Struthio camelus: one gene and its partners. The protein of the gene in region 3 interacts with the protein of the main gene of each other region in a pairwise test. Links are inferred from orthologs where the notes say so. Each region holds a gene or a part of one and is shown on either strand. Other genes may lie near its edges. The genes, in order: RNF167, CNOT4, UBE2E3 and MUL1.

What was found.
Region 1: the proteins of UBE2E3 (region 3) and RNF167 interact in a two-hybrid assay, tested with the Homo sapiens proteins (2 studies listed by BioGRID and IntAct). The link is inferred for Struthio camelus from reciprocal best matches to the Homo sapiens genes UBE2E3 and RNF167.
Region 2: the proteins of UBE2E3 (region 3) and CNOT4 interact in a two-hybrid assay, tested with the Homo sapiens proteins (3 studies listed by BioGRID and IntAct). The link is inferred for Struthio camelus from reciprocal best matches to the Homo sapiens genes UBE2E3 and CNOT4.
Region 4: the proteins of UBE2E3 (region 3) and MUL1 interact in a two-hybrid assay, tested with the Homo sapiens proteins (2 studies listed by BioGRID and IntAct). The link is inferred for Struthio camelus from reciprocal best matches to the Homo sapiens genes UBE2E3 and MUL1.

The regions. Positions count from the first base shown.
Region 1 is NW_027182728.1:101,324-109,207, reverse strand, and holds the start of RNF167 (E3 ubiquitin-protein ligase RNF167), read left to right. Parts: upstream 1-4,881; 5' UTR 4,882-5,042; intron 5,043-5,557; exon of another isoform or gene 5,558-5,599; 5' UTR 5,600-5,949; exon of another isoform or gene 5,950-6,125; intron 6,126-6,145; exon of another isoform or gene 6,146-6,535; intron 6,536-6,697; 5' UTR 6,698-6,715; coding exon 6,716-6,799; intron 6,800-6,880; coding exon 6,881-6,961; intron 6,962-7,034; coding exon 7,035-7,154; intron 7,155-7,238; coding exon 7,239-7,326; intron 7,327-7,884. Other genes in the region: MINK1 (misshapen-like kinase 1), read left to right, coding at 1-20; SLC25A11 (mitochondrial 2-oxoglutarate/malate carrier protein), read right to left, coding at 1,976-2,131, 2,214-2,265, 2,339-2,438, 2,684-2,774, 3,029-3,119, 3,208-3,414, 3,495-3,647, 4,524-4,600.
Region 2 is NC_090942.1:54,558,014-54,565,461, forward strand, and holds the start of CNOT4 (CCR4-NOT transcription complex subunit 4), read left to right. Parts: upstream 1-4,445; 5' UTR 4,446-4,528; exon of another isoform or gene 4,529-4,737; intron 4,738-4,955; exon of another isoform or gene 4,956-5,404; intron 5,405-7,448. UniProt on the Homo sapiens protein: Has E3 ubiquitin ligase activity, promoting ubiquitination and degradation of target proteins. Involved in activation of the JAK/STAT pathway. Catalyzes ubiquitination of methylated RBM15.
Region 3 is NC_090947.1:18,921,284-18,928,793, forward strand, and holds the start of UBE2E3 (ubiquitin-conjugating enzyme E2 E3), read right to left. Parts: upstream 3,002-7,510; 5' UTR 2,969-3,001; coding exon 2,939-2,968; intron 2,547-2,938; coding exon 2,344-2,546; intron 174-2,343; coding exon 123-173; intron 1-122. UniProt on the Homo sapiens protein: Accepts ubiquitin from the E1 complex and catalyzes its covalent attachment to other proteins. In vitro catalyzes 'Lys-11'- and 'Lys-48'-, as well as 'Lys-63'-linked polyubiquitination.
Region 4 is NC_090962.1:12,714,333-12,722,243, reverse strand, and holds the start of MUL1 (mitochondrial ubiquitin ligase activator of NFKB 1), read right to left. Parts: upstream 3,007-7,911; 5' UTR 2,996-3,006; coding exon 2,632-2,995; intron 2,544-2,631; coding exon of another isoform or gene 2,456-2,543; intron 2,304-2,455; coding exon 2,183-2,303; intron 512-2,182; coding exon 1-511. Other genes in the region: protein FAM43B, read right to left, coding at 4,996-5,892. UniProt on the Homo sapiens protein: Exhibits weak E3 ubiquitin-protein ligase activity. E3 ubiquitin ligases accept ubiquitin from an E2 ubiquitin-conjugating enzyme in the form of a thioester and then directly transfer the ubiquitin to targeted substrates.

The DNA of each region.
Region 1 (7,884 bases), on a different chromosome or scaffold from region 3:
ACTGCGTCATGAACTGGTGATGGCCACGCCCCCGCCGGGAGCCACGCCTCCTCCCCGGGCCACGCCCCGGCCCCACCCATCGGGCTGCTCTTGGGAGAGGAAGAGCCGTTTCCACGGCGACGGCGTTTGACTGACAGGCTGAAGCCCCGCCCTGGCTTTGCTCCTGCCCCGCCCCATTGTTGCTGAACGCGGGACCGCCCCCCCCAACCGCCTGTGGGGCAGGTCCCACCGTGGGGCCCGCGTGTGGGGCAGGTCCCATCATGGGCTCTCCCCACCGCGGCCATGGGGCAGGTCCCACCACGGGTCCCCTGTGCCGTGGGGCAGGGCCCACAGTGGCGCCCGGCTCTCTGTATATTTTGCTTTAATTATTTTGTAACGAGAAACTCGTTAATGAAGCACTTTATGGCCCCATGGCCGTGGGGTGCCCCACGGTGGGGGGGGGGGGGGCTCTCCAGGGGGCGGGGCCAGAGGCCGGAGGCCTCGAGGGTGGGGGTGTAGGCCCGGGGCAGCCCCCACCGTGGCCTTGAGATGCTGTAATAAAGCACCGAACCAGGTCGCAGCCACCCGCTTCAATCGCCGAACGCCTGGGCCCCGGGGGGGGGGGGGGGGGGTCTCCAGGGGCTCGTATAGGGCTGTGCAGGGAGGGGAGGGGAGGGGGAGTCTCCAGGGGCTCGTATAGGGCTGCGCGGGGAGGGGAGGGGAGGGGAGTCTCCAGGGGCTCGTATAGGGCTGTGCGGGGAGAGGAGGGGAGGGGAGTCTCCAGGGGCTCGTATAGGGCTGTGCGGGGAGAGGAGGGGAGGGGAGTCTCCAGGGGCTCGTATAGGGCTGCGCAGGGAGGGGAGGGGAGTCTCCAGGGGCTCGTATAGGGCTGCGCAGGGAGGGGAGGGGAGTCTCCAGGGGCTCGTATAGGGCTGTGCGGGGAGGGGAGGGGAGTCTCCAGGGGCTCGTATAGGGCTGTGCAGGGAGGGGAGGGGAGTCTCCAGGGGCTCGTATAGGGCTGCGCAGGGAGGGGAGGGGAGTCTCCAGGGGCTCGTATAGGGCTGCGCGGGGAGGGGAGGGGAGGGGGAGTCTCCAGGGGCTCGTATAGGGCTGCGCGGGGAGGGGAGGGGAGTCTCCAGGGGCTCGTATAGGGCTGTGCAGGGAGGCCAGTGTATCCGGTTTAGGGGTCATGGAGGTGCTCCAGGGGTGTGGAGTTTTTAGGGGGGGCATGTCCTGGCTGCCACTCCCCCCCCCAACCGCAGGCCCTAGCGTCCACAGTGCCTGGCTGAGCTGTCCTCGTTCTCCAGCAGGGACAGGGGGCACACGGGTTGGCGGGGGGCCATGCTGCTGGGGTTGCTTGGGAGTCCATGCAGCACTGGAGGGTGTTGTGGGCAGCACATGGGGCGTGCAGGACGTGGGAGGGGCATGAGAGGGGCATTTGGGGGCCTCTGAGGGACCCTCAGCTGCCCCCAGGCAGGAGCATGCGAAGGAGAGGCCCAGGCACTGGGCGCGCACAAGGGTGCGGGTGCCTAGGGCGAGGCAGGGAGCACCCAGGGGAGCGCCACTGTGCACCCGGGGTTTAACGTAGCCCACGAGGGGTTAATGTGGCCCACGAGGGGGTTTTTCACACCACAAGGCACAGCTGGTGCCAGGGTGGGGTGGGGTCAACAGAGCCACTGTGGGAAGGATGGCGGCACCACCCTGGGGGACACTGGAACCACTGGGGGTTGGGGGGGGGGGACACACCTGCTTCCTAGCTCTCACCCTGCACCCCACCCCGGGGGGACCCAGGCGTCTGGGCAGTGACGGGGGGGGCCCCACTCGCCGTGGCACCATCGTGCCCCGACGCCACCCGCACTGCCACCTCCTCGCACCGACAGCTCTTTACTATGTTCCAAGCGCAGCAGGGAGAGGGTGGGGGACATGTTTCGGGTGCCCCCGCCGGGGCCAGGCGCGCAGGGAGACCGCCGGGCCGGGGCTGGGGCCGGGGCTGCCGCTAGGCACTGAGGAAGAATTTCTTGTAGTACTTGTTCATCTGCTCGAGGAAGATGAAGGTGAGGACGGTGTGGGGGCCCAGGCGGGCGTAGTACGGCGTGAAGCCCTTCCAGAGGCTGAAGAAGCCCTCGTATCGCACCACCTTCACCAGCACGTCCTGCGAGGGTCGAGACGGGGGGCTCGCGGCGGGGCCAGTGCGCGGCAGCCCCGGCAGCCCACGGCCCCTCGCTCCCGCTTACCAGCCCGTTGCGGTACTCCGGCTTCCCGTCGATCATCCGCATGTTCTGGATGCTGCGTGGGGGGAAGGAGGGTGGTGAGCGGGGGGGCTGCACTCAGGGGAGCCCCCACCGCCCGCGGCACCCACCGCGTCTTGGCGATGTCCACGGGCATGGAGGCGGCCGTGGTCACCAGCCCGCTGATCATGCTGGCACAGAAGTGGCAGAGGATGTCGTCGCGGAAGTAGCCTGCCGCAGGGGAGAGATGGCAGCAGGCGTCAGTGGGGCCGGAGCCGCAAGAACGGAGTCGCGACGCCACCAGAGTCACAACATCGGAGCCATGATGCTGCTGGAGCCGTGACGCCACCGGAGCCGCGACACCGCTGAAGGCACCGGAGCCACGACGCAGCCGGAGCCGTGATGCCGCCGGCGCCGTGAAGGCACCAGAGCCGCGACGCCGCCGGAGCTGTGACACCGCCGGAGCCGCGACTCACCGGAGTCGAGCAGGAACTGCTTGGACTGCGAGTAGGAGGCGAGCTGGGCGGCGTTGACCACCACCGCCCGGGCCATGGTGGGGATGCAGCCCTGCGGGCGAGAGGGTGAGCGGGGCCAGGGCGACCCTGGGGTCCCCCGTGCCACAGCGTGGGGACGTCCTGAGATCCCCATGTCCCCATGCCGTGACCTGCCAGAGTGTGGGGCCACCCCAGGGCCACCACGCTGCTGCGCCAGCGTGCGGGGACACCCCAGGGCCCCCCTCCCACACTGCCTCGGACGCCCCAGGACACCGGAGCGTGGGACCACCAAGTACCCCCCCACCGCGCCGCCGCGCCGCGCCGTACCCGCCACAGTGTGGGGACGCCTTCCTCCCGCGTTATCCGCAGCAGGGCGTCGAAGACGTTCCGGTAGCCGCGCCGCTCGGCAGGGGGCAGCCTGGGGGGAAGGAAAGTGGGGGCCCACGGGCAGGCGGCGGGAGTGAGGGGCCGCCACCGCCGCTGCTGCGGGGCCCCGCTGGCCTCACCTGCCGTCGGCCGTCATGCGGATGAGGGCCACCTCGGCTGGGGTGCCCACGAAGGCGCCGGTGGCGCCCGCCGTCATGCCGATGAAGGCTTTGGTGATGAAGGCGGGCGGCGTGCCGTCGGCCCCCGTCAGCTTCTCGAAGAGGACGGTGTAGATGCCCAGGCGGGTGGTGGTGTAGGTGGCCTGGCGCAGGAGGCCGGCCGAGAGCCTGCCGGGGGCGGTGGTGGCGTTCAGCGGGCAGCGTGGCGGCCTCCCCGCCGCCCCCCTGCCGTTCCCCGTCCCGCCTACCCGGTGTAGATGCCGCGGACGCCCTCCTTGCGCAGGATGCTGCCCACGGCATGCAGGCTCGTCTTGTACTCTTTGGTCTTGGCGCCCTCGCCACTGAGCTGCATGCGGTTCTTCACCAGGTCCAGGGGCTGCACGAAGACGGTGGCGCCCATGCTGCGGGCAGGCAGCAGCGGGTCCAGCGGCTGGGCAGGGCGGCCCCCGCCGCCACCGAGGAACGGCTTTGGCAGCCGGAGCAGCGCCGGCCGGGCTCTGCTGCAGCACGTGACCCGCACGTGCGCCGCGCCGGCCCCTCGAGGCGTTTGGGGAAGGAGCCTGACACCCAGGGCAGCGTCTTTTGGTGGGGGGATCTGGCTGCGCCGAGCTGCTGACGGAGCAGAGCTGCCCGAGGCAGCTCCGGGGCAGGGGAAGCGGGGAGAAGGGGGCCGGTGTCTCGGGACCCTGCGATGGCTCAGGCTGGGTGGGCTCCCTGGGGGTGACGGAGGGGGCTGGGGGGCTGCGAGGTCCGTGATGGGGCTGAGGGGAGTTGGGGGTGTCTGCAAGGGGATGGGGGGGCTCTGATGAGGGTAGTGGGGGGCTGCTGAGGGACCTGAAGAGATTGGGAGGACCCTGAGGGGTCCGGGGGGTGGTTCCTGAGGGGGCTGATGGGAGCATGGGGCCCCGAAGGGATCGGAGGGGCCCTGAAGGGTCAAGGGGGTCCCTGAGGGGGTCGGGGGGCCCTGAGGGGGGCTCTAGGGGGTCGGGGGCTCTAGGGGGTCGGAGGGGGCCCTGAGGGGGGCTCTAGGGGGTCGGGGGCTCTAGGGGGTCGGGGGGGGGCCTGAGGGGGGCTCTAGGGGGTCGGGGGCTCTAGGGGGTCGGGGGGGGCCTGAGGGGGGCTCTAGGGGGTCGGGGGGGCCCTGAGGGGGGCTCTAGGGGGTCGGGGGGGCTCTAGGGGCTCTAGGGGGTCGGGGGGGCTCTAGGGGCTCTGGGGGGGGCTCTAGGGGGTCGGGGGGGCCCTGAGGGGGGCTCTAGGGGGTCGGGGGGGTCGCTCACCCGGCCAGGCCGCCGAAGAGGAACTTGACGGACTTGGGGGAGGTTTTGGGCTTCTCGGCCGCCGGCGCCGCCGCCATCTCGGCCGCTGCCGGGGCCGGTGCGGTCCGGTCTGGCCCGGTCCGCTCTGGTCCGGTTCCGGTCCGGTCCGGTGCGGCGCGGCCGCCCGGCACCAAGGTGACTCCGGGGCGGGGGGCGACGGGGGGAGGCGGGGGGGAGCTGCGCGCGCAGCCGCGGCGCCCGCCGCACTGCGCCTGCGCGCGGCGCCTGCGCCCCACCGGGGACGGGAGGGGCGGGACCTCCAGGGGCGGGGGCGGGCTGGAGACGGGCCGGAGGGGCGGGGCCTGAGGGGGCGGGGCCTGAGGGGGCCGGCCGGAGGGGCGGGGCCGGGCCAGACGCGCGCGCACCCCTGCGGCCGCCCATTGGCGCGGCGGTTTTGGCGGGAAGAGCCGCCGGGGGCGGGGGGGGGGAGGAGGAGGAGCGCGACCCACCGCCCCCCCCCCCCCCGCCGTGAGGCACCGGGTACCGCCGAGTAACAGCCCCCCTCCCCCCCCCGCCGGGTACCGCCGAGTAACAACCCCCTCCCCCCCCCCCCCGCCGGGTACCGCCGAGTAACAGCCCCCCTCACCCCCCCCCGCCGGGTACCGCCGAGTAACAGCCCCCCCGCCGGGTACCGCCGAGTAACAACCCCCCTCCCCCCCCCCCCCCCGCCGGGTACCGCCGAGTAACAGCCCCCCTCACCCCCCCCCCCCGCCGGGTACCGCCGAGTAACAGCCCCCCCGCCGGGTACCGCCGAGTAACAACCCCCCTCCCCCCCCCCGCCGGGTACCGCCGAGTAACAACCCCCCTCCCCCCCCCCCCGCCGGGTACCGCCGAGTAACAGCCCCCCTCACCCCCCCCCCCGCCGGGTACCGCCGAGTAACAGCCCCCCCCCCCCCGCCGGGTACCGCCGAGTAACAACCCCCCGCCGGGTACCGCCGAGTAACAGCCCCCCTCCCCCCCACCCGCCGGGTACCGCCAAGTAACACACATACGGGTACCGCCGAGTAACACCCCCCCCCCCCGGTACTGGCGAGCAGCAGCCGCAGCAGCACCGCAGAGCGCCACCTGCGCAGGGGAGCGCGGCCCCCGCGGAGGAGTACCGCAGGGTAACACCCCCGCGGAGGAGTCCTGCCCTGGAGGAGCGACGCCGGGTACCACCCTCCCGGCGCACCCCGGAGTACCGCCGCCAGCCAGCGCTGAGGCGGGGCGCCACGCAGTACCGCCCCCGGGTACCGGAGTACCAGCCGAGGAGGAGCACTGCCAGGTACCACCCCGGCGAGAAGTACCTCCAAATACCACCTCCCATGGGAAGTACCACCCAACTGCCTCAAAGTACCAGGAGGTACCACCCCGAGGAGGACTATCACCCCAGTACCACCCCCCGAGGGTGAGTACCACCCCAGTACCACTGCAGCCCCCCCGAGGAGGAGTACCACCCCGGTACCACCCCCGAGGAGGAGTACCACGCGAGTACTGCCCCCAAGGCCGAGTACCGCCCCGGGGAGGGGCACCCCGGGGCCCCCCGCCCCGCGAAGCACCCCCAAACGCTCGCCCGGAGCCCAGGTACGGCCCGAGCGCCGCCCTCGGGGAGTACCGCCGGAGGTACCGCCAGGCGGGGGGGCGCCGGCCCCCACGCGCGACCGACCCCACGACGGGGGTCCGAGGCAGGGCCGGACCCGGCGTTGGCCCCCCCGACCCGTGCGCGGGGCCCAGGCGTCCGGGGCGGGACGCGGCGGCTCCTCCTCCTCCTCCTCCTCTCGCGAGAGCGCCCGGCCATGTTGCGGGCGTAAACACGGGGACCCCCCGGGCGGGGGGGACACGCGTCCGCCCCACGGCCCCGTGGGCCGGCGCTGAGCCCCACACGTCGCCCCCCCCAGGTAAGGCGGGGGGGCCGGACGCCTGGGCCCCGGCGCCGCAGCGGGGCGGCGTGTGGGCTGGGGGGGCGGACTTCGCCCGGCGCTTATCGGGGTGAGGTGCGTCCCGGGGCCGCGACACGCCGCGACACGCCTCGCCACGCCTCGCCGCGCCACCTCCCCCCGCCACTGCGCCGGCCCGGACGCCTGGGCCCCCTCCACCGCGGAGCGAGCCCAGGTGTCCGGGGGCCGCCCCGACCCGCCGCCGCCGTCACCTCCCAGGTCGCCGCCGTCCCCGCCATGCGGCCGGGCCCCGTCGCCCTCCTCGCCGCCGCCGCCGCCGCCATGCTGCTGACACCCCCCGCCGAGACCTACATCCAGGCGGTGAGCGGGGTTTTGGGGCGGTTCGGGGGGATTCGGGGGCCGTTCCGGGGCTCACTGCCGCCGCCGCCCCCTCCCCGCCAGGTGCTGGGGCCCAACGCCACCATGGAGTTCTCCGACCTGCCGGCGCTCTTCGGCGCGCCGCTGCCTCGCCAAGGCCTGCTGGTAGGTGGCCTCCTCCGGACGCCTGGGCCCCGTCCCGGGACGCGGGGGCCCCTGACGCGTCCCCCCCGCGCAGGGTTTCGTGGTGGAGGCGCGGCCCAGCAACGCCTGCCGGCCCATCGCGCCGGCGCCCGGCGCCAACGGCACCGTCTTCATCGCCCTCGTGCGCCGCTACGACTGCGACTTCGACGTCAAGGTGGGGCGTGGGGGAGGGGGGGAGGCTGGAAGGGCCCAGGCGTCCCCCGCCTCCCGCCCTGACCCTCGCCGCCGCCCCGCGCAGGTGCTGCACGCGCAGCAGGCCGGCTTCGGGGCCGCTGTGGTGCACAACGTGGACTCGGAGAAGCTGCTCAACATGGTCTGGAACGATGGTGAGCGCTGGCCGGGCCACGCGGCGGCTCCGCTCCGCTCTCCCGGTGGCCCCGGCTCTGTCCCGGCTCCATCATGGCTCCATGGTGGCTCCGCCATGGCCCACACAGCTCCACTGTGGCCATCACGGCTCCTTCGTGGCCTGTCATGGCTCCACCGTGACCACTGCGGCTCCATCACGGCCATCGTGGCCCCATCATGGCTGTGGTGGCCCTATCACAGCTCCACCACGTCTCTGTCATGGCCGTCGTGGCTCTATCATGGCCCGTCACAGCTCCGTTGTGGCCATCATGGTTCCACTATGGCCACTGTGTCTCCGTCATAGCCCTGTCACAGCTGTCATGACCCCATCATGGTCCCCTTGCAGCTCCATCATGGCCACTGTGGCCCAGCTGCGGCTGTCGCGGCTCTGTTGTGGCCCTGTTGTGGGCTTGGTGGCCATCACAGCCCTATCGTGGCCCCATGGTGGCCCTGTTGTGGCTGTGGTGGCCACCACCCCTGTTGTTGCCCCATGGTGACCGTCATGGCCCCGTGGCGGCCATGGTGGCTCTGTGGCGGCC
Region 2 (7,448 bases), on a different chromosome or scaffold from region 3:
CACATAGAACTGCAAACTTGAATCCTGTTACTAGTCGCCGCTCACTAATCTTCTCTCCTTCCCCTTCCAGCGCCTGCACAGGATTTCTATAGAAAGGAGCCAGAAAGAGGGAGGCATCTTGTTTTGTTACACAGCAATGGTTCCCTGGGAAAATCCATTCCTCAGGGAAGCCCAGACTGGAAAAGCAGATGGGAATGACATTCCAAAATTGAGAAAAAAATTAAACCTATTATCACTAGCACTGATAGGAGGAATGACAAACATTTGCAATTTGTCTCTGGCAACCGAGGCACCATAATGATGAGGAGCATGAGCTTTGCAAGCTGCTGGCTGCATGAAAAATGTTTGGAAAAAGAGAGGATAAGGAAGGAGAAGTCCATGGATCCTGTGAATCTCTTTCAGCAGGAGACCAGAAGGCAAAAAAAAAAGAGCTGAGAGAATACATGTGACAACTTGTGTAGCCTTCAGGCAAATGTCTAGACTCAGAGAAGGAGTTTAGGATAAGGAAAACAACATACAGGAAAATTTGCTGGAAATTGTACAGAAGGAAACAGACCTCTGAAGAATGTTAGGATGCTATATGCATACCACTACTTCAAGAGCACCCTGGGGTTAACAAGAGCAGTGACAGCTTCCTGTAGGTTTCCAGAGGTTACTGTACCCTTTCCAGAAAACCGGAGTGATTTCTGCTTTCATTTGCAAAGACAGATGCACTTAGCATATACGGTGTGTTGTGCCAGAATCAGTAAAGATTATCCTGAAAAAATTGACTGAGGCATTCCACTAAAGTTCTCATTTTCCCCTAATAACATCAATTCGTAACAAAAACATTAACAAAGACAAATCTCTCTCCCTTTTCCACTGCTGTATGCTTACCATGAAGAAAGAGCAGGACAAATCCCTGATCCTGTTTCCCGGAGCAGTTTGGACACCTCCTCCCTCTCTCATAGATTTTGAACCAGACTTGGTTAACATCTGTCACTTGCAGCAAATATTGATCAGCTTGTTTGTAAGGCTCCTCCAGCTGCCCTTCAGTTTTGCCACAAAGCCCTTCATTATTATTCTGTAGGTAGTCAGAACAGTCATACCATTCCTTCTCCAGTACCTTGGCCCAGTAAAAGGCCTGAGAAGTAGAAAGATGTCTGGGTCTCCCAGAGTGACAAAAGGAAGGACATCATTAACTTTCATAGCCGTCCAGGGAGCAATTGATATTTTGTTGCAGTAAATAAGGCTGAATTTCTAAAAATCCTTTCATCAACTATTCCAAAACTTTTTTCATTAATATTGGAAAACTTTCCATAGTAATCAATGAGGCTTTGCAGAATATCCTTTTTCTGTTTATGAAAACTGACTTTTGGTATGCAATATAGGTACCCAAGTCCAACCAGTGGTTCCAACGTTAACTCAGGAACATGAACTTTGCAAATCTTGAAGTCATTTTCTTGGTACCAGCACAATGAAACACACACACACAGTATTTATTTCCAGCATACACTGACATACCAGCACCAATCCAGTTAGCAGCTAGCCAGCTGGATTGCTGGCAACCACCAAGGCACCAATGGTCACCCCAACACAGAGATGTGCTGCTGTATCAATTTTATCAATGCTGACAATCTAAACTGAGCTAGGCCTTTGGCAGCCATTACCATCCTGAAGTCCTAGCAGAATTACTCTTCATCCCAAGCATGGTTTCCTCCTTCTCTGCCAGTATCAGTGCGCCACCACCACATCTCTTTCCAATCCCTTCCCAAGACTTTCCACTGCGTTACCAACCTGTTTGTATTAAGGGTGGCTGGAACTGCGGAGCTCTGCCATGTTTTCTCCATATAGCCATTTGAAGTGGTGTTGACTAACAACAGGAGGAATCATGCAAGTAGATTGGTTTCACCCCAAATTGCAGAATTCTGGTAGGTTCCTATATCTTCTTCCACAAGACACCAACTGTAGGACATCTCACCAGAGAGTACCTTCCCAGCACATACTGAGAGTTAATACAGGACAGCGTGTATGTAAAGAATCACAGGGAAATTGTAACTGAGTCAAAATAAATAAATCATACAGGTATACATTTTCACTCTAGCTAGTATACTTTGGTTATTTCCAAGAAAATATACTCTGAACATTTTTCTTTGTAGATATAGAAAAAAATTTTTTAGGAACAATCCTGCTGAGTGATCAGACCTATTCAAAATAAATGAAAAACAAACATCAAGGTGACAAAATGTGACTGTGTAATAATAATCTATCAAAACAATTACAATTACTTCAAAGCAAGAAACAGATAATTTAAGGACATCTGAAATCCAACAATGGCCACATGATGGTCTAGTGAATTATTCTCATCAAATAAAAGTCGAGGTGGAAACATAAGGCCATGTGTAACCTTCAGTAACGTAATGCAATATAACCTTCTGCCATGTGATTTTTTTTCACATTATTATTGGGTAGTGCTGAAATTGGTGTCCATGTGAGACTCAGCAAAGGAATATAAACAGACCTTTAGTAAGGGAAAGAATTCTCAATCCTAAATTAAAAAAAAAATAAAACACACAGAATGTCACTTAATAAGCAGCCTTAATTTCGACCCATGAATTGCAGCTTTTAAAATGTACTATTTTTATCTTTCTTTCAGAGTCAAAGGACTTTATTTTATTCAACAGGAAACATTGCCAAGTACTAGGTGTGTCAACAAATGCATTACTTTATATAAGTTACTTACATACTGGGTACTTCTGGAACATAATCCTTTATAGGTAGCTTGATCTGAAAATGTGCAAAACAAAGTTTTTGATGAATATATTCATTTCATATATACGTGCACTTGAATCTGATGTGTCATATATGATATATATGTTACAGTTATATATTAAATAGGTTTGTAAGTACCATTGTAGGATTCATTTTCAAAAGAGTACTGCATTTATGTTCACATGTTGAGACTACTAATGAAAATAATATTGTATTTATTTTTATTCAGATCTAGGTCTTGCCCACAGCTGGAAGTGATATAGTTAATTCATAGAGCTTTCCTGTTATGGGTATTCTTATATCAATATAAAACTGTTTATATGCACAAAGTAACGTTAACTTCTGTGGGAAAGAGAATAAACTACAGCAACACAAGACGCTTCGCTATCAGTGGAACAGGTGTGTGGTGTGAGGCTGTAACTGTATAACACTTTAACGTAAGACAGAAAAATAAAGAAGAAAAGCATCATACTGCTAAGCAAAATAGTTATACCTCTGCATTCTGTGCAGGCCATTCTGTGATGAACACCTCTCTTACCCACCCAGCAATTGCTGAAATAAGTAAAACATCAGGTGTATGTTGCCATGGCAAAACCACTAATAACTTGTGCCTTGGAGATAACTGATGATTAAATATGCAGGATGAAACTGCCTATTACAAGAGCTAAGGATCCTGTGCAGGAACTCCCTCTGGAGTCATAAAGATTGGGAGTAAAAGCACTCTTTTTGGCTAGTAGCTGAGGTTCTGAGGTCCCTTTGTGTGATACTGGGACTGCAGGAAAAAGGAGGTAGATTTACAGGTTCAGTCTTAACAGGCCCATGGCACTGGGTTTCTCAGTATCTGCGGTAGAAAGAAGAGACCAAAGCAATGTGGTTTGGGTGAGTTTCTGAAGACAAGAGAGACAAAAAAGAAGCAAGACAAGTGTTTTGGCAGCATAGAGGTTCTCTCCCTGAGAATTTCCAGGGAGGAAGTTGCTTCTGCAATATTAATTACAATCCCTGCCCATGAAAGCAGAATTTGCCTAGATTTTCTAACTGAAGAGAGGACACCAAGAAAACACTCATTTCTGTGCCTTTCTGTTCCAAATGGGAAACCGATCTGCAAAGCTCTTAAAAAAAAAAAAAAAACTGTTTAGCCAAGGGGCACCACCGCGTTAAGTGTCTGTTGCCATAGGATGAGCAGGTCCGGGCGGGAGAGGGGCAGCTTTCCAGCCGCGGGGCGGGCGGGTGGGCAGGCGGCGCGCAGGAGGTAGCCACGTTTCACCGCTGCAGAAAACCGATGTCCTCATCAGCCACGCAATCTTGCTGTCACGCTGGGTCGGAACCTGTGAGGATGGAGGAAAAAGGAAAAAGGAAAAAAAAGAAAGAAAGAAGAAAGAAAAAAGAAAAATAGGCAAAAAAGAGAAAAAGAAAAAAAAAAGAAGAAAAGAAGAAAGAAAGGAAAATAAGAAAGAAGAGGAGGAAGGCAGGCAGCTGGCCATCTCCCGCGCGGGGAAGGGAGAGCCGGAGGCGGTGGCCCGCGTCCCGCGTCCCCCCTCTGCTGTGAGTTGCGGCGCGGCGGGGGCGGCGGGGCAGGCTGTGCCTGGGAGCGGGAGGGACCGGCCAAGAGCAGACTGCCACCCTCCCGGGATGTTGTAAACGGGATCTGTAGTCGGGACTCGCCGCCTCTCGCCGAGTTTAACGGGAGCGAAACCAAGTACGAAAGCGCGCACTGCAAACAGCCTCCCCTGGCTGCCAGCCACCTCCTCAGAGACATCGCCTACCTGCGCTTTTGGAGGTCTGAAGTGACAATAAGTAGATTGCCTTTGGCCGAAGGGAGAGGGGGAAGCAGAAACAATGAGGGGAGGAAACAAAAAATAAACCCGGCGTTTTAAATCCGCACAGGTTTAACGGCCGGCAACAGGTGGCTGAGGCGGCGGTGGGTGTAGGGCCAGGGTCGGGCCGGGCCGGGGGCGAGCAGGGTCTGCCCCGGGTGGGCTGGGGGGTGGCGAGGAGCCCCGGGGTTACGCCGGCGGGGGGAAGGCGGACCAGCCTTCCTCCTCCTCCTCCTCCTCCTCCTCGTCGTCGCGGCCGGCAGTTCCCCCCCCCACCCCCCGCCCCGCGCTGACAGGGCGGCCGCGCCGCGCGCCTACAAGTCCCGTCATGCCCAGCGCCGTCGCGGCTGTTGCCGTCGCGGCCGCTCGCGCCCCTCCCCGCCCACTGTCGGCGGCGCAAGCGCAGGGGGGGCGGCGTCCAGGGCAAGTCTCCCTAATGTAAGATGGTGGCCGGGCTGGCAGCGGAGCGCCCCGAGCTCGGAGATTACCCGTCTCTCGCATAAAGGTCGTCGGAAGAGCCGCCGCCGCCGCCGCTGCCGTCGAAGCCCCCGGTCGGCCGCTGCCACAGGTCCCGCCCGAGGAGCGCCGCTGCGGTTTTTTTTTTTTTTTTTTTTGCCTTCAGCCGCCCGCCCCGTCTCCTCTCTTTCCTCGCCGCCTCTCTCCTTCCCTCCCCACCCTTCTCCCCTCTCCTCCTCCTTCCCCGCACACTCGCCCGCCTCCGCCGGCCCGGCTCGACTCGGTTCGGTTCGGCCCGGCCTGGCCCGTCCGCCGCGCCGGGCAGCGCAGCGCGAAGGAGAGCCGCGCACACACTGCGCGCTGGGCAGGGACGAGGAAGGCGGGTGAGTGCGAGCTGAAGGCCGGGCCGGGGAAGGAAGGAGGGAGGGAAGGCGGCGGGGGGGGGGGGGGGGAGCCGGGCCGTTCTGCCTACGAGAGCGCCGAGGCTTCGCTGGGACGGCGCAGGCCTCAGCCCACCCCCCCGTGCCGGGAGCGGCCGGGCCGTGCGGGGAGGCCGCGGGGGAGAGGGGCGGGTGGGCGGCCGCTCCCGGGGGCCGCGGGGAAGGGGGCTCCCCCGGCCGGCCGCGGGGGGGGAGGTATTTATGGATTTGTTCCTACCCCCAGCGCGGGGGGGGGGGGGGAACCTCCGCTGGTCAGGTTGGGGGGGGCGGTCCCCCCCCCCCCCCCCCCGAGCCGCGCTGCCCTCCCGGCCGTGCCCGCCCGCCGGGGGAGGCCGGCGGCCTGCGGGATCGCGGCGTGATTCACTTAGGATTTGCCTGGAAATTTCCTCTCTCCCCTTCTTCCTCCTCCCCAAAGCTAGGCTCCATTTGTTCTTATGATTTGCACTTTTTTTTTTTTTAAGAGCGCAACAAACAGATGGTAAATGGCAGCCTCTTATTTTCTCTGTTATTTTGGATAGTCCGTGTAACCCCCCTGAGATTTGTCTATCTGTAAAATAATCGATATGTAACTTTCTGTCTCTTACTCACAAAATACTAGCAGCTCGTTCCATTTTGTGGGTTAGCAGAAGCAAATGATACTGCTGTGTATGAGCTCTCATCCTACTTCCAGGGACTTGTCGTGTTGCTCTACCTGCCGGTGTCAAACTGAGCTGCTAATGTTTTCATGTGTACAGTAAAAGGGGAGGGAAAATACCCTAGATAAATATCATAGACTGCTTTGTTATTGTACCTGCAAGGATTTAATTGTCCATGGCTTGAATATTTCTGTCAGTATGGTAATATCAAATAGGTAGTTCATAGGAGAAGTAATTCTCTTTATATGTTAATGTAAGCAGAAACCATTAGCTAGTTAAAGCTGTGGAAACTCTAGGCCTACAGATGTTAGCTTACTCTTACCCAGAAGTTTTAGAAGTTAATGTTGGCAAATCGCATGTTTACTGAGCCTGTACAGATTTCTAACTCGCTGTGTTTTAACTGTCTGTGTTTTATTTTAGTTCTAAAAGGTCTGGACTCAAGCATCTGCATATTTTGACTTTATACTCATGTAAGCATGATGACTGGCATTAACTAGAAGGAAAAACTAGTACTGAACAATGAATATGTAGAAGAATGAAATTCCTTCTGTGCTCTCTCTGTCCCCACTTTGAGAAAAAAGATACAGGTTTATGAAAAGCAGGGAATAAACTGGCTGTTTGGTTTGAGAGGATGAATTGATTTCAGGTGGCCTACAAATACTCAAATACACTTCTAGTTTCTTATCATCTCTCTAATAATACACTAAACTTGTGCCTAGTCTAGGATTCAGGTGTGTTGTTCAGGTTTTGGGATCCTGTGATAAAATTTCTGTTTCATGAACAAGATGAACACATGCAAGCGTTTAGAAATGCTTGGCAGTTGAAGTTGGCTGAATTGCAATCAGAGTTCATTCTAGGGGAAAGGGTTGTTTTGGAAAGGGGAATACAATGATAAAATTGATCTTTGCTTTTAACTTGCGTACTTTTTTCAGGTGCCTGTTTATTAGCATTTTAAATGATGACCCTTGGAAGGTCCTAACAGCTTTTCCTGTTTAGAGAGAAAAGGTGGTGAGTGCCTTTCAAGAATAGCACTCTGTAAAATAATTTGTTGATACCTTTTTTCAGAAAGTTTAAGAGCTGCTATGCAGTGCCCATTAAATAAAAAGCTTGAGTTCAAGAAGTTGGGGAGAGAATAAGCACATGTGGCTTTTTTTTTTTTGAAATAAACATATTCATTATAAACAGATAGATGTTGTCCTTTGCTGTTGTTCAGGAAAGTTAGGATATTCTTTGCATGTTAAATGTTTTGAAATTACTCTGACCAAGGTTTTAAGTATGGGCCCTGAAGGCTTAACTTTGGCAACTGTTTTTCGGAATTCTGCCTACCTCTCTGGAATAAATGAGTTTATATG
Region 3 (7,510 bases):
TGCTGCATGCAATTTCTGTTTAATAGTCATCAGTTGTAAACACAAAAACGTTTCCCATTTGTTAGCCTGAGCACATTAAACTCCTACCACTGTCCACAATTTAAGAAGTTGTTGTTACATACCTGCAGTTAGGAGGAGGATCAAGGGTTATTTCAGCTAGCTCCTTCTGGATTCTGTTGGTGAAATGAGAACAGACACAAAGCATTTGAGATAGTCTATAGAATAAATCAGGGAATTACACTGCCCTCTACCACCATGCAGTTAAATGCAAGATTGGCTTTGCCTTCAGTAATGCTAACATGGCTGCTTCCTCTTTGTTCTCAGAGGCATAACCCAAATCCCACAGCAGAGAAACTTTGCAGCTTTTTTTCTGCTTAATACTGTAAATAAACAGCACGCTTACAACTGAGTTTGATAGGAATTTCCCACAAGTATACAGAAAAGTAACTATTTTTCATATCTGAACACTCCTTAGCAGAGAGATTTTCTTTTCAAGCTAATATGCAAATGAGGTGTGTGTGGGGGGGGAGAGGCTGTACAAGCATATTTAACAATGACTTTAAACCAGGGCTGCAGACCCGTGATTGCAGCTGAAGCAGCGAACTGTGCTGTAAGCAAATACGTTCTTTTGACAATGTTTTACCTGTTACTTTCCAGTAACATTTAAAAAGTAGATTTGCAGATCTGACAGGCTGCCTCGGTTACTGGAATAATCTCTCTGGATCAACTTTGCTCCTCTGTGCACCTTCTGCTGCCTTTCTTCCCTGAAGCTTATAATTTCGAAATAATCTGTGAGCTAGCTTTGCTCTCTATCCTGTAACAATCGTTCCTGAGCTGTTAAGGTCCGGAAGAGGAACACTGAAAACTTTTTGTCAATTTAATAGTTTGTTCAGATACAAGAGAGGTATAAAGTTAAAAGATGCATGGTAAATTCCTCTTTAAAATGTCAAATAAGATTTTTCTTCAAAAGAGGCCCATAAAAGCAAGACCGTTCTTTCCTTTAAATAGGAAGCATTAAAATATGAACTAATAGAAGCTGATCTGAAAGCCATTACACTAGTCATACTAAGTTCAATCAGACTACTCAGCTATTTGAGACTTATGGAATTAGACACACAACTAAGCAAAATGAAGGCAAGAGGGGAAAACTTAGTCTTGAGTTTCTACATGATGTATCGTGGGTTTTTCAAAAAAAGTAAGCAATAATAAATTACAAAATCTACACAGTGCTTCCAGAAATCTTCCTCCAGCCAGTCCTATTTCAAAGGTGTGTTTTTTTAAACGAGCACAGATGTCAAAGCCACCTACTAATGTTCTGCAGTAATATTAACGCATTTCAAGAAGTATTTATTCAACTTAAGTCCCAATGCAAAATTCTAAAACGTTCCTAAAAATTTGAACTGCAGTATTTGTGCTGAATAAGCAAAATTTGAAGCTGCTTAATAAAGAACTTGTATGCATTCTCATGGCTGATCTACAGCTCTTCTTGCTACAGGATAAACTCAGTATTTGTAAAGAAAAGGAACTGCGGAGAAAAGATTGGAAAGTTATGTTTCATCTCAAAAGACCACTGAAATCAAGGGATTTAAAGTTTGCTTGTTTCATAGAGCTGAACTTACAGAATAGGGTTAGCGTGCTTGTCTTGAGAGCTGGACTTCCAGAAATCTTATATGCAAATAAAAATGCACCAGATACAACCAAACAAGCTTTCTAAGGATTTTGGTGCTTAACAGTAGAGTCTACCTATAGAACTCCATGGTTTGAACCTGCAGATCCTAAGGCAAAAGATCCACTTAAATTTCTCCTGAACAAACTGCAGAAACTATTAGGTTAAGGCATGAAAGGCTGCACTGCATATTGACAAGAAAAGCTAGTCATATGGCCTGCAAAAGCCACTTTTTTTTCCTGACTTCTATAATTAAAGAGCATTTCCTGTCACTAGTCTACAGGCTACTAGTGTACACCAGGACACTGCCCTATAGCAGTAAGGGTGAGAAAACTAGCTCTGTGAAAGAGATACCTGGAGCTCACGCACATACTCTCTTGCACATTTTCACAAAGACAAAAAAAGCCAAAAAAAAACCTCCTACCACCCAGCCAGAAAGTTACCAAATTCTTAAGCAACTCTTCAGAAGAAATATGACAAGTTTGTCTGATTACTACCTCAATAAGACCTAGATTAATATTGCCTGACAGACTCCTGTATTTAAAATCTTCACTCTTTTACTTTACTTTCTCATATAGCTTTACAAGAATCCATCTGCCCTGAAAAGTGCAACTGCAAATAGTGAAACTCAAAACACCGTGCAAAAATACTACAGAATATTTTACTATCACTTTTACCTTTTAGCACTAGTAGATAGTTTAGCAGTAGTTTTGCTGGATAATTTGGTGTTCTTCTTCTGCTGGGTTGCAGAAGGTTTTCTTTCCTCTTGCTCTTCAGGTTCAGGTGCTGGTGGATCCCTCTGATCGGCATCTGAACTACCACTGCTGGTACTTGGACTCTCATCATCTGACCTCTGCCTATCACTGGACATCGTGGGGAACTTTTAGGGGGAAGGAGAAGAAAAGAGGCAGAGTTAATGTAAGAGTCAGGACTGTCTCTTGCCATTCCCCGAGTTCTAAAGAGCACTTTCAACTTGATGACAACTCTATTTCACTGAGAAATTAGCCAAAACGCGCCTCTTTGTCTCATCCTCAGCAAGGGCTGTAGTTTGACAGCTACGAAGCAATATTTACACTTCTGAAAATACAGATATTTCCAATTTTTGAACCCACTCACATTTTTTTCATACTTTAAACAATATGCCAATTGTCGACTTTGTTCTAAGCCATGAGACAGATTTAGCAGGGTACTTAGGCAAGGAACATTAATAACTTATGACACATTGTAAATAACAGACCTCACTGAAAATGTTTTTTAAAAAGTCACTAATACCCTGTAAATATTTACACTGGAGCAGAGCATTTTATTGGGTCCAAACAGCCAGATCCCCCCCCTCTCCCGGAGAAAATATATTGCCAGTAACACTCGGGTGGATTTCAGACTGAAATAGACACTTGCTCCGTCCCTGGGCGTTTAAAGGGCTGGGCGGCGGGGGAGGGGGGGGGTTTGTTTGTTTGTTTTTTTTAACCAAGACGCATTTAAATCGACTCGGAGAGCAGCGGCGTCGGTTATTTACAGGGCCAGCAGCACCGACTGCATCTGGCCGCCGCGGAGCTGCTGGGGGCGGGGGGGGGGAGGGGGGGAAGCGTAATTCAAACTGCCCCTTCCGCGAGGCTCCGCCACCGGCTCTCGCTCCGTTTCCACCGCGCAGACCGACATTTTTTAGCCAAAAGGCGGCGGCGGCGGCGGCGGCGGCGGGGGGGGGGGGGGGGGAGGGGGGCTGCCCCCGGAGGCCGGGGGGGCCGAGGAGGAGCGCGGCGCTGCCGCCGCCGCCGGCGCGGGGAGCTGCGGCGGGGCTGGAGGCGGCGGGGCTGGAGGGAGGAGGGAGGGAGGGAGGGAGGCAGCCGCCCGGCCGCGCTTTGTGGGGAGAGCCCGGCTCGGCGGCGGCTGGGGCGGCCCCGCAGCGCCCCGCACCGCGCCGCGCGTGGGCACCGAGCGAGGCGTGAACTCAGGCCGGCCGCGCCGCGCCGCGCCGCCCCGGCCGCCGCCAGGCAGCGGGCGCTGGGAACAAGAACAAAGCTCCTCTACCAGCTCCCCCCCCCGCTCCCCGCCGCCTCCTCCCCGCCTCCCCCCACCGAGCTCGCCCAGCCGCCTGCTGCAGCCACCTCACCCGCCGCTCCTTTACCTTCGCCGGCGTCCTGTCCCGCTGCTGGGTCGGAGGGGCGGGATGGCGGGGGGCAGGGCCGGGCCCGCGGCGCCCGAGGAGCGGACGGAGGCGGCCGGGGGGCTATAAAGCGGCGGCGGAGGCTCTGTGGCCGGGCAGTGTGGAACATTGAGAGCCGGAGCAGGGGGGAGACGGGGGGAGGTGCAGTGCGGCCGCGGGGCCGGCGGGTGGCGCTGGCGGGCCCCGCTCTGCGGCGCGGGCTCCCGCGGCGGGCCGGGGCGGGCGGGCGCGCGCCTGCCGCGGGCGGGGGGGGGGGGGGGCGCCGGCGGGCTCCTGCTGCCGCCGCCGCCGCCGCCCCCTGGTGCCGCCGCCGCGCCCGCGCTCGCCGCCGCGCCGTCAGCAAAGTTCTCCGAGCGAGCGGGGGAGGGGCGCGGGGGGCGCTCGCTCCCGCCTCTCGGCTGCCGGAGCGCGCCCCCCTCTGGGCTGGGGTGCGCGCAGGCGCTCTCCCGGCGTGGCCGAGGGCGCGCGTGCTGCGGGCCGGGCAAGGACAAAGCGTCGGCGCGGGGCAGCCGCCGCGCGGGCAGCGCCCGGCCCGGCCAACGGCCGCGGGCGGGGCCGCCCGGGGCGCGCCCCCAGCTGGGGCAGCGCCTCCCGCCGCGCTCCCGCCCGCCCCCCGCCCCGTGTCTGTGGGCTGGGTGCCACCAGCGTCCCGCGGGGCCCTCGACGGCCCCGGGCTGCGCCGCGTGGCGGGCCGAGCCCTCCCGCGGGCCCATCGGCGGCCCCCGGCTGCGCCGCGTGGCGCCCCTCTGGCCCGGAGCGGGGTGCGCGGGCCGAGCCCTCGACGGCCCCCGGCCGCCTCGACGGCCCCCGGCCGCCCCGCCGGCCCTCGCTCCTCACGTCCGGCGTCGGGCCGCGCCGGGCTGCCACACGCCGGCCACGGGCTCGGGAGCGGGTTCAGCAGTGCCGGAAACGAGCGGTTGGCCGCCCTGCCCTGACTTCCCTCCGCTTTTCCCCTTCTAAAAATCTCGACTCCTTAGCGCGTCTCGGGACGAAAAGCTCCCATTTGGCGTGTTGAGTCTGTAGGAGCCAGGACTCGTTTCGCCCTGAGGTCCGGTGCGCCGAGCGGGCCTTCGACCTCGAAGACAGCGCTGGCCCTGAGGCGCGCCGATGCGGCGGCTTGAGGAGGCCAAGTACACCAGGAGCTCCTGTGTCACGGACAAAGCGGTGGATCCCTACAGCAGCAGGGGTGGTACTATACAGCCGGGCTGCTTGTAGTGAGGGTGTTCGGCCTTACAGGCGGTGTTTTGAATTGTTCCATAAACAGCCCGAGTGCCAAATTCTGAATTTTTTTGGAAAAGGAAAGAGGATAATAGATAGCAATTGCAGTAGGTGTCAGTGGGAAGATCATTTCACAAGGGAGATAGTACAGGGTGGAGATTTAATTTCTCTTCTGGCCTGTCATGGATGTGCTGTTCTGGGGTGTACAGGAACAGCTATCCACACTAAACCTTTAGAGTACTCGGTGTGGTAAAAGCAAGCCAAGAATTGAAATAATATGAATATTCCGAACTTACCAAAGTGTCTGATCATCCTGATAATAAGATCTACTTGTACGTGTAAAACGCTATTTGTGAACACTAGACAAGGTTGTGTATAACCAACTTCGGCCGAGAAGGAATTAACAATTACTGTAAATGTTTGTACGAAGACAAAAGGCAGCAATCGACGTGAAATCTCTGGTGAACATTGCTGTCCAACGCAAGGGCTTTCACCTCAATGGCTTTTACCTCAAGGGCTTTCATTATCAACAGCCTAATGACTTAAAACTACTGTATTTTCTTAGGTTTAGTAGGATCAAGGGGTCAGAGAGTGTATACTGTGCTCTAGAGGGAATAAACAGTCGGTGTGTCAGGGATGACAGTTTTCTGGGTAGCTGAAGTTAACTCAGTTGAAAAGTATGCTAAAGATTTGGTGAGAGAGTTGAATGATGTGATGTGGAGAAATACTGGAGGTTTGTTTGTTAAAGTAGGCTAGAGAGAATTCCCAGATCACCACTACAGGCAATTTGCCCCTGAGGTATGCTGTAGAAAATTCCTAGCATAAACAGTATCTGGCATGATGAGCAATCTGGGCATAATTAGTAAAAGAGAAGCGTGGCAATATCAAAAACCTATCAGTCAGCACTGGGAGCTTTTTTTTTTGCTAGTCTGTTGAAGATGCTTAAGATGAGACTTGCTGGAGCTTTGAAAGTGTAAGTTTTCGGTTTTTTATTTTATTTCAGGTGAAGATTAGCACAGGCATCCAAAAAAAATGATTAGCAGGGTATGCGTCTGCAGAGTGAATGCAAGTAGACTGGTCAAGGGTTGCTCGCCACATCAGCTACTACGTGTTGGTTTCTGTGTGGCTTTTAGGATACAAAATAAAAATAAAGCCCATTTAACAGAGATTAATTGAAAAGCCGATGTAGATTATTTTTTCCCAGCCTGTTGTACTTTATTAAAACAGATTTACTAAAGCAACTTGTGGATATAAGAGATGTTCATTTGAAGATGTTCATTGAAGATGTTCATTAATTTGACATCAAGTCTCAAAGGATGACACTTTTCTTTTGTGAGGCTGTATTTTCCTTAGGTATGTTTGTTCTGTTGTCAACTGTATTAAAAGTAGTATATTGAGAGATATGGTATATTTTGAACTAAGGGGAGAAAGTGCTGATTTTAATAGCCATACTTTTAAAGCCACATATCCCAATCTTTGTGACTTTTCATATCGCTTGTGATTTTTCATCAGTGTAATTTTAACTGATGTACCTATCATGAATGCTCTTCTGCTGCCAATTTATTGGATCACTTGAACTGTGAAAATGCAGCCAGTATTGTGAAGTGCAGAGCCTTCTTAACGATCATTTAGACTGGTCCAAGCAGTTCTGGGCACTCAGGAGTGGGTGAGGCCTGCGTTTTTTCCCCAATCAGTGGCCTCTGTTTTTATCACAGGCCCTCCTCTCAAAAGCTGTTTGTGTTTTTTTCAGAAGCCACATGTCGCTTTGGGTATATCTCCGTCTCTATTTTGTCAGAGCACAGGTATGAAGGTACTGTCAATATATGGAGGCTTAACAACTGCTTTGGGCTGCACAGACATCTGATAATATTTTTCTAGGTTTAGGAATTCACAGTTCAGTCTCCTCCATCTGACATGAAATGCTGTGATAACGAACAACTCAATGCATGGCAGCAGAACTAGAGAAAAAGGCACTTTCTGCCTCTCTCAAGGAGACTGAGAGAGATGGAAAAATCATTGCTTGATCTCCTTGCCCCTAACATTTTAAGGGTATATAGATGGTAAAATAAGGCCAGCGTGCATTTTTCATGATTAGGAGCAGCTCAGTTGAAAATACTACTTAAATGTTTACAGTCATATACTACATCTTCTTTATCACAAAGTCATTGTTTCCTGACAGTAAATATATCTACCTAGCAATGCATCTTTCTGTCCTATGTGTGTTTCCATACCAGGCTGTGTCTTTTAAAGCACCTGTTGGAATTCTACTAGTGGTACAGCTAGAGATGCACAAACTGCAGAGTCAGGAAATGAAGGAAGTATTGTTTTAAGATAGATGTGATGTGATAAAATTGAGATTGTGCTTTTATTATTATTTCGTGTCTAGCAACTAGTGGCCCTTGTGAGGTAGACCCCATACAGATATCCAGTGAGTCTTTTCCCCAGATAATTGACAATGTAAG
Region 4 (7,911 bases), on a different chromosome or scaffold from region 3:
CCTGAATTCATCTTGCATTTGCTTGAGGCGCTGCTTCTCTCGATGGTGCCGGTATTGCTTTCTCAGGAGGAAGAAGAGAGTGGCGCAAGTAGCGAAGCCAAAAATGATTGTCAGGATTTTCCAGAGTCTGACGTTGGATTCTTGCTTCTGCAGCAAGGCGTCGAAATCCATGCTGCTGAGATAGTACTGCATTCCCTGCTTCGGGGGCTGCAGTTTGATCGTGTTGTTGTCCAGCACCAGCTCTCCCACCCCCGTCAGCGTGGTTCCCACCTTCAGCATCTGTTCCGTTTCCTGAATGCCTTTGGGACGCTCGCCGCTGATGTAGTGGCCGATGACATCGGTGAAGGACTGGACGGAGGGGTGGAACTTCTCGTACACCGTCTCCAGGCTGAGCTCGGCGGCCTCCAGGGGTTTCATCACCCTCACGCTCACGTCGGCCCCGTCCTCGGGAGGCACCAGGTCAAAGGGAGTCGTGTTGGTCCTCTGGTGAATGATCTTCTCACAGTCGTTCCTGGGGAAGGAGGGATTACCGACTACAACAAACGCAAGCATAAGGAGGAGTTTTGCGCTAGCGCTTCCCCCAGATGAAGTGCAGTAGGGAAACGCAGTACGGTCTGCAGGGTAAGAGCAACACCCATCCCTCTTCGAGTTAGGTGGGGGAAAAAAAGGAGCTACAACTACTGCAAGGAAACAAACAAGCTGCCTGCTGGCCCCGCCTGCCCACCGGCACGCGATACTGCTGCAGCTCCAGGAACTTGCAGCAGGATTCGGTGCCGCACCAGCAGCCTGTCTCGAATTTGCTTAGATCAGGGGATTTGCTTTGCTCGGGGATCGCTCGCACCCGCACTGTCGCCTGCCCTAACTGGAATTCATCTAGCCAAGAACGATGCCGGAGTGGTTTCTCTCCCTGGGGTTATCCGGCTCTGCGCTAGGCCCTCTTCTCTTATCTCCACGCATTTGCAACCTCCCTGGTAAGGTAAAAAGGACGTCCGCCGTCCTGAGGGTAGCGCTCAGGCATATCTAATTCCATCTAATCTCCCAGATGCGTTCCCGGCTCCGACAAACCACTGTGCGGCGAGCAGCGCCGCGTGTCACACGGGCAAGTTTAATAAATGTAATCCGATTAGCTGGGGCTTTGTTTAGGCTCGGAGAGCGCGCCGATGCTCTAGCGTCAACAACTGCCTTCGACAAGGCTGCTCCCGCTTCCGCGGTCAGGTACGACGCTAGCACAAGCGTCTGTCATCCGAATTCAGACTTTTACTAAGGCCCCGTTTTGCCGGGGAAACGTTACACTGCGACCAGCGCTCAGCAGCAGTAACGTAGAGCGGCTGACAAGCGCTCTGCCTGAGCGCTTGGAGCAACAGCGCTCATTTCCTACAGTCCCTATATAAACTCTGAGAGGACACAGCTCTGAAAACAGCAAAACACGCTCCGTTTCAGCAGCTATAACGCGGTCGCGTTGTACTCCGGACTCTCCGTCTAGCCCCTCCGTCAATTTGCCAACGTCTGAAGTCATGTCAACGTGCAAGGCTCTCCCACGGATGGCTGGCACTCAGCTGTATGACTTTCCCACCCCATAAAAAGGATATAAATGAGGACGGTAACCAACTCGTACACCGATTTCCGAGCGCAGATGTTGGAAAGGAAGGGTCCTACAGAAGAGAACTCGTCTCCATGTACACACAAGGGCTGATTTTACAGCAACATGAGCAAAAACCCCAACTTTATTGATTCAAAACCATGCGGCGGCCCAGGAAGAGGCTGGTGGGACATGATTTACGTCTGCTTAACGAGCCACCGAGCTGTTTACTTCCAATCCCCACGTCCGCCAGCACGTAAAGGAAGGGCGGGCAGAATCCAGAGCCGAGCACGGCACGTTAGCCGCTACGTAAGTCGACTTGGGGAGCTGCTACTCAACCTGGCAGACCACCTCTTCGGGGGGGGGGGGCGCGGAGGTTTTGTGGGCAGGCGGACACGCTAACGCGCAAGGGCTAAGGAAGGGCGCCGAAAGCAGCCGCGGGAGGGGTTCGGCTGTCGGGGCTTCAGGCGCTGCCCGAGAGCTGCTTCCTCGTCTCCTCCGCAGTGAAGGCGGCAGGAGGAGGGGGGCACCGGGGGGGGGGGGGCGTCTTTTTCCCCATCCCCTCCCCGCCGGGGCGAGGCGAGGCGAAGCGAGGCCGTTTACCAGAGGTGGGTGGTGCGGTTCCACACCATCTTGTGCTCCTGCAGCGTCAGGCGCTGCACGACGCCTCGGCAGCCCTCCACGAACTGGCTGCTCAGCGTCTCCTTCGCCGACCGCACGGCACCTGCCAGAGGGGTTGGGGGGGGGGGGGAAGAGAAAACAAACACACAAACAAACAAGCCAAAATAACCCCCCAAAGGGGTGTTTCGACGCGCTCCCCCCCCTTGGGGGGGGCGGGTTGAGCGGGGGGTGGGGTGGGGGGGGGGGTGCCGGTACCCTGGACGACGGCGTAGGGCAGGCAGCGGCCCGGCGCCTCCCGCAGGGCGGCGCGCAGCTCCCCGTCCAGCCGCAGCCTCCGGGCGCCCTGCGCACACAGACGACGCGGCTCAGGCCGCGGGGGCCTCCCCCGGCCGCCCCCTTCTCCTCCCCCTCCCTTCCCTTCCCCCGGGCACCTGGAGGCGGCGGGCGGCGCGGGCCTTGTGCCGGTAGGTCGAGTAGAGCAGGGCCGTGAGGGCGGCGCCGGCGGCCAGCAGCGCGGCCTGCACCGCCGACGGCCGCCCGCCCTCCATGGCCGCCCGGCCCCGCTCGTTGCCGCGGCAACGGCCGCGCCGGCGCACCCGTGATGACGTCGATGCCGCCGCCGCGGCGCTCTGGCCGCGGGCTCGATGGTAACCATAGAGGATGGCGGGGAGGAGCTGCCTCTCTGGCCGGGCGGGGCGGTCCTCCAGGGAGGGGTGTGTTGCGGGGGGCGGGGGGGGGGGGGGCCGTGTCGGCGCCAAGCTCAGCGCCCCCCCCCCGGGGGGGGTTCAGCCCCATCCCACCCCCAGGGTCTTTAGGGGGGGTTCAGCCCCATCCCACCCCCAGGGTCTTTGGGGGTGGTTCAGCCCCCATCCCACCCCCCCAGGGCCTTGGAGGGAGATTCAGCCCCCATCCCACCCCCCCAGGGCCTTGGAGAGGGAGGTTTCAACCCCATCCCGCCCCCAGGGCCTTTGGGAGGGGGGGTTCAGCCCCCATCCCACCCCCCAGGGCCTTGGAGGGGGGTTCAGCCCCCATCCCACCCCCCAGGGCCTTTGGAGCGGGGTTCAGCCCCATCCCACCCCCAGGGCCTTGGAGGGGGGGTTCAGCCCCATCCCACCCCCCAGGGCCTTGGAGGGGGGGTTCAGCCCCCATCCCACCCCCCAGGGCCTTGGAGGGGGGGTTCAGCCCCATCCCACCACCAGGGCCTTGGAGGGGGGGTTCAGCCCCCATCCCACCCCCCAGGGCCTTGGAGGGGGGGGTTCAGCCCCATCCCACCCCCAGGGCCTTTGGGGAGGGGGTTCAGCCCCATCCCACCCCCCAGAGCCTTTAAAGGGGGGGTTCAGCCCCATCCCACCTCCCAGGGTCCTTGGAGAGGGGTTCAGCCCCATCCCACCCCCCCAAGGTCTTTGGGGGGGGGTTCAGCCCCATCCACCTCCCAGGGCCTTGGAGGGGGGCTTCAGCCCCCATCCCACCCCCCAGGGTCTTTGGGGGGGGGTTCAGCCCCCATCCCACCCCCCCAGGGCCTTGGAGAGGGAGGTTTCAACCCCATTCCACCCCAGGGCCTTTGGGGAGGGGGTTCACCCCCTTCCCACCCCCCAGGGTCTTTGAGGGGGGGTTTCAATCCCATCCCACTCCCTCAGGGCCTTTGAGTGGGGGGTTCAGCCCCCATCCCACCCCCCCAGGGCCTTGGAGAGGGAGGTTTCAACCCCATTCCACCCCAGGGCCTTTGGGGAGGGGGTTCACCCCCTTCCCACCCCCCAGGGTCTTTGAGGGGGGGTTTCAATCCCATCCCACTCCCTCAGGGCCTTTGAGTGGGGGGTTCAGCCCCATCCCACCCCCCAGAGCCTTTAAAGGGGGGGTTCAGCCCCATCCCACCCCCAGGGTCCTTGGAGGGGGGTTCAGCCCCATCCCACCCCCCCAGGGTCCTTGGAGGGAGATTCAGCCCCCATCCCACCTCCCAGGGCCTTTGAGTGGGAGGTTTCAACCCCATCCCGCCCCCAGGGCCTTTGGGGGGGGGGGGGTTCAACCCCATCCCACCCCCCAGGGCCTTGGAGGGGGGTTCAGACCCCATCCCACCCCAGGGCCTTTGAGTGGGGGGTTCAGCCCCATCCCACCCCCCAGGGTCTTTGAGGGGGGGTTTCAATCCCATCCCACTCCCTCAGGGCCTTTGGAGCGGGGTTCAGCCCCATCCCACCCCCAGGGCTTTGGAGGGGGGGTTCAGCCCCCATCCCACCCCCCCCAGGGCCTTGGAGGGGGATTCAGCCCCCATCCCACCCCCCAGGGCCTTGGAGGGGGGGGTTCAGCCCCATCCCACCCCCCAGGGCCTTTGGAGGGGGGGGTTCAGCCCCATCCCACCCCCCCCCAGGGCCTTGGAGGGGGATTCAGCCCCCATCCCACCCCCAGGGCTTTGGGGCGGGGGGGTTCAACCCCATCCCACCCCCCAGGGCCTTTGGAGGGGGGGATTCAGCCCCCATCCCACCCCCCAGGGCCTTTGGAGGGGGGGGTTCAGCCCCATCCCACCCCCCCCAGGGCCTTGGAGGGGGATTCAGCCCCCATCCCACCCCCAGGGCTTTGGGGCGGGGGGGTTCAACCCTATCCCACCCCCCAGGGCCTTTGGAGGGGGGGGTTCAACCCCATCCCACCCCCCAGGGTCTTTGGGGGGGGGTTCAACCCCATCCCACCCCCAGGGCCTTTGGAGGGGGGGGTTCAACCCCATCCCACCCCCCCAGGGCCTTAGAGAGGGGGGTTTCAACCCCATCCCACCCCCAGGGCCTTTGGGGGGGGGGTTCAGCGGGCGCTCAGCACCCCGGCGGCAGGGCGCCCCGCAGGCTGCAGCCCCGCAGCTCGCCGGCCAGCCGCAGCACGTCGGCCCGCCGCCGGCCCGAGCCTTCCTCCTCCTCGCCCTCCTCCTCCTCCTCCTCCTCCTCCTCCTCCTCCTCCAGGATGGAGCCGAGGCCGGGGGCGCCGCGGCCCCGCTCGGCCGCCGGCGGGCCGTAGGGACGGGGCGCCTTGAGGAGGCGCCGCAGCGGGGCCGGGGGCACGGCGGCGGCCCCCAGGCGCTGCTGCCGCCCGTGCCGCCCGTCGCTCTGCCGCTGCAGCCGCCCGAACTCGGCCAGGGCGCCCGCCGCCGCCTGAGCCAGCAGGCGAGCCACGGCGCCCGCCACCCCGGCCTCGGGCGCCAGCGCCGCGTGGCAGCGCAGCGCCACCGCCTTGTTCTTCGCCCGGTGCCGGTAGACCCAGGCGAAGAGGTCGGGCCGGCGAGCGTCGGCGGCGCAGTGGGTGATGCGGCGCAGCAGGTAGCACTGGCCCGGGCGCCGGGCGCCGGCTTCGCAGGGCGTCAGGCGGATGCCGTGCGGCCCCAGCGTCAGCCGCATCTTGGCGCCGCCGCCGCTCTTGGCCCAGATCTTGCCCACGGCCTCGTCGGTGCAGCCCTCGCCCTTGGCCCGCAGCGTGGCCGCGTGGCCCAGGTAGCGCACGGTGTACGTGGGCGCCTCCCGGCTGAGCTCCGCCGTCCGGCGCTTGCCCCCGAAGAGGCGGCCCAGGCGCCGCAGCGGGCACTCGGCCAGCGCGCCGGGCCAGGCGCGCGCCAGGGCGGCCAGCAGCGAGCCGTAGCCCAGCCCCGGGCCCAAGCTCTTCCCCTTGCCCTCGCGCTCCTCTTCCACCAGCACGAACTTGCTGCGGCGCCAGGGCAGCATCGCGGCTGCGCCGAGGGCTCCTCTGCCGCCCGCGGGGCTCGGCGTTTCCGCCTCACCGCAGTCCTCCCGCGGGTCTCACCGTTCCCGCACCGCCGCGATGCTCCCGCGGGTCTCACCGTTCCCGCACCGCCGCGATGCTCCCGCGGGTCTCACTGTTCCCACGCCGCTGTGATGCTCCCACGGGTCTCACCGTTCCCGCACCGCCGCGATGCTCCCGCGGGTCTCACTGTTCCCGCACCGTCGCGATGCTCCCGCGGGTCTCACCGTTCCCGCACCGCCGCGATGCTCCCGCGGGTCTCACTGTTCCCGCACTGCCGCGATGCTCCCACGGGTCTCACTGTTCCCGCATTGCTGTGATGCTCCCGCGGGTCTCACCGTTCCCGCACCGCCGCGATGCTCCCGCGGGTCTCACTGTTCCCGCACTGCCGCGATGCTCCCACGGGTCTCACTGTTCCCGCACTGCCGCGATGCTCCCGCGGGTCTCACTGTTCCCGCACCGCCGCGATGCTCCCGCGGGTCTCACCGTTCCCGCACCGCCGCGATGCTCCCACGGGTCTCACTGTTCCCGCACCGCCGCGATGCTCCCGCGGGTCTCACCGTTCCCGCACCGCCGCGATGCTCCCGCGGGTCTCACCGTTCCCACACCGCCGCGATGCTCCCGCGGGTCTCACCGTTCCCGCACCGCCGCGATGCTCCCGCGGGTCTCACCGTTCCCACACCGCCGCGATGCTCCCGCGGGTCTCACCGTTCCCGCACCGCCGCGATGCTCCCGCGGGTCTCACCGTTCCCACGCCGCCGCGATGCTCCCGCGGGTCTCACTGTTCCCGCACCGCCGCGATGCTCCCGTGGGTCTCACCGTTCCCACGCCGCTGTGATGCTCCCGCGGCCGAGCTGCCCCTCCGCCCCGCTCCGCTTTGGGAGGCTGACCTGCCGCGGAGGGGTCCCCCGGCGGTGCCGCCCCCCCGCTGCCGGCTCCCTACCCCAGCGCGGCGGGAGGCGGATGCTGCGGCAGGATGCCGCTGGCCTCGGCGCGGGGGGATGCGGAGCCGCTGAGCTGCCGCAGAGGAGCCGGCGGCGGAGCGAGGCGCAGCCGCTCGCCTGCCCGCTCCTGCTGCGTGAGCGGCGGCAGCGGGGACTCAGCCCTCCGTGGGCTGCTCCACCTCCCCGGGACGCGGCATCAGGCAGCGCGCGGGGAGCCCTCGGCAAACGTTAGCCACGCCGGCAAGCCCGCCGAGCGGAGCCCCCCCCCCCCCTGCTCCCCGCAGGGGAAATTAAGGGCGGAGTGAGGTGGCAGTGATTTTTTTCCCCCCCTTTTCCCCGAAGGCTCGGACCACGGCAGCTGCTCGCCCCGCACAGCCCTAGCGCCAGCGACGAGGCTTTCTCTTCAAATCGGGGCGCTCCTCGAGGCGTTTGCTGCCGGCCGCCCCCGGCGGCGCTCGCGTCGGCCCGGCTTGCAAACGCTGCTGCCTTCTCGCAGGTGGTTTTCACTCAGTTCCCCCCCACCCCCGTTTTTTTTTGTTTTTTTTTGCCATATTTGCAGGCCTTCAAGGATGCCCCTCTTGGGTGGAAATTTTAGCTTTTAGCCTCCTGCCGAATCCGAGGCTTGCTCCGGCGTCGGCTCCGCCGCCGAGCCGCCCAGGGAGACCCCCGTCGGCGCAGCGAACGCGCCCCTCCTCGGCGGTTCTTCGCCCCGGCGCTCCACGCCGCTGCGCGTGCTGCAAACCCGACGGCGGCGGACAACCCCTCCTCTCTCCGACGACCTCGAGCCGGCGCTGGTGCAGCGCAGCTCCGCAGCACTGGCAACCAAAATAATAAAAGATGCAAGCCTTTCTTTCGATCTCTTTATTCGGTTGTGTTTTGGTTTTGTTTTCCAGCAAAGGACGCGGTTTGCTCTGTGCTGCTTTGCTTCCCGGCTCTCAGCGTAAAGGATGGTTTCAGGGACAGGATTTCTAGGGCAAGAATGCAGATTTGGGGGTTTGGGGGTGTTTGTCAGCCCGGTTATTTATAGCTCCTGCGTTA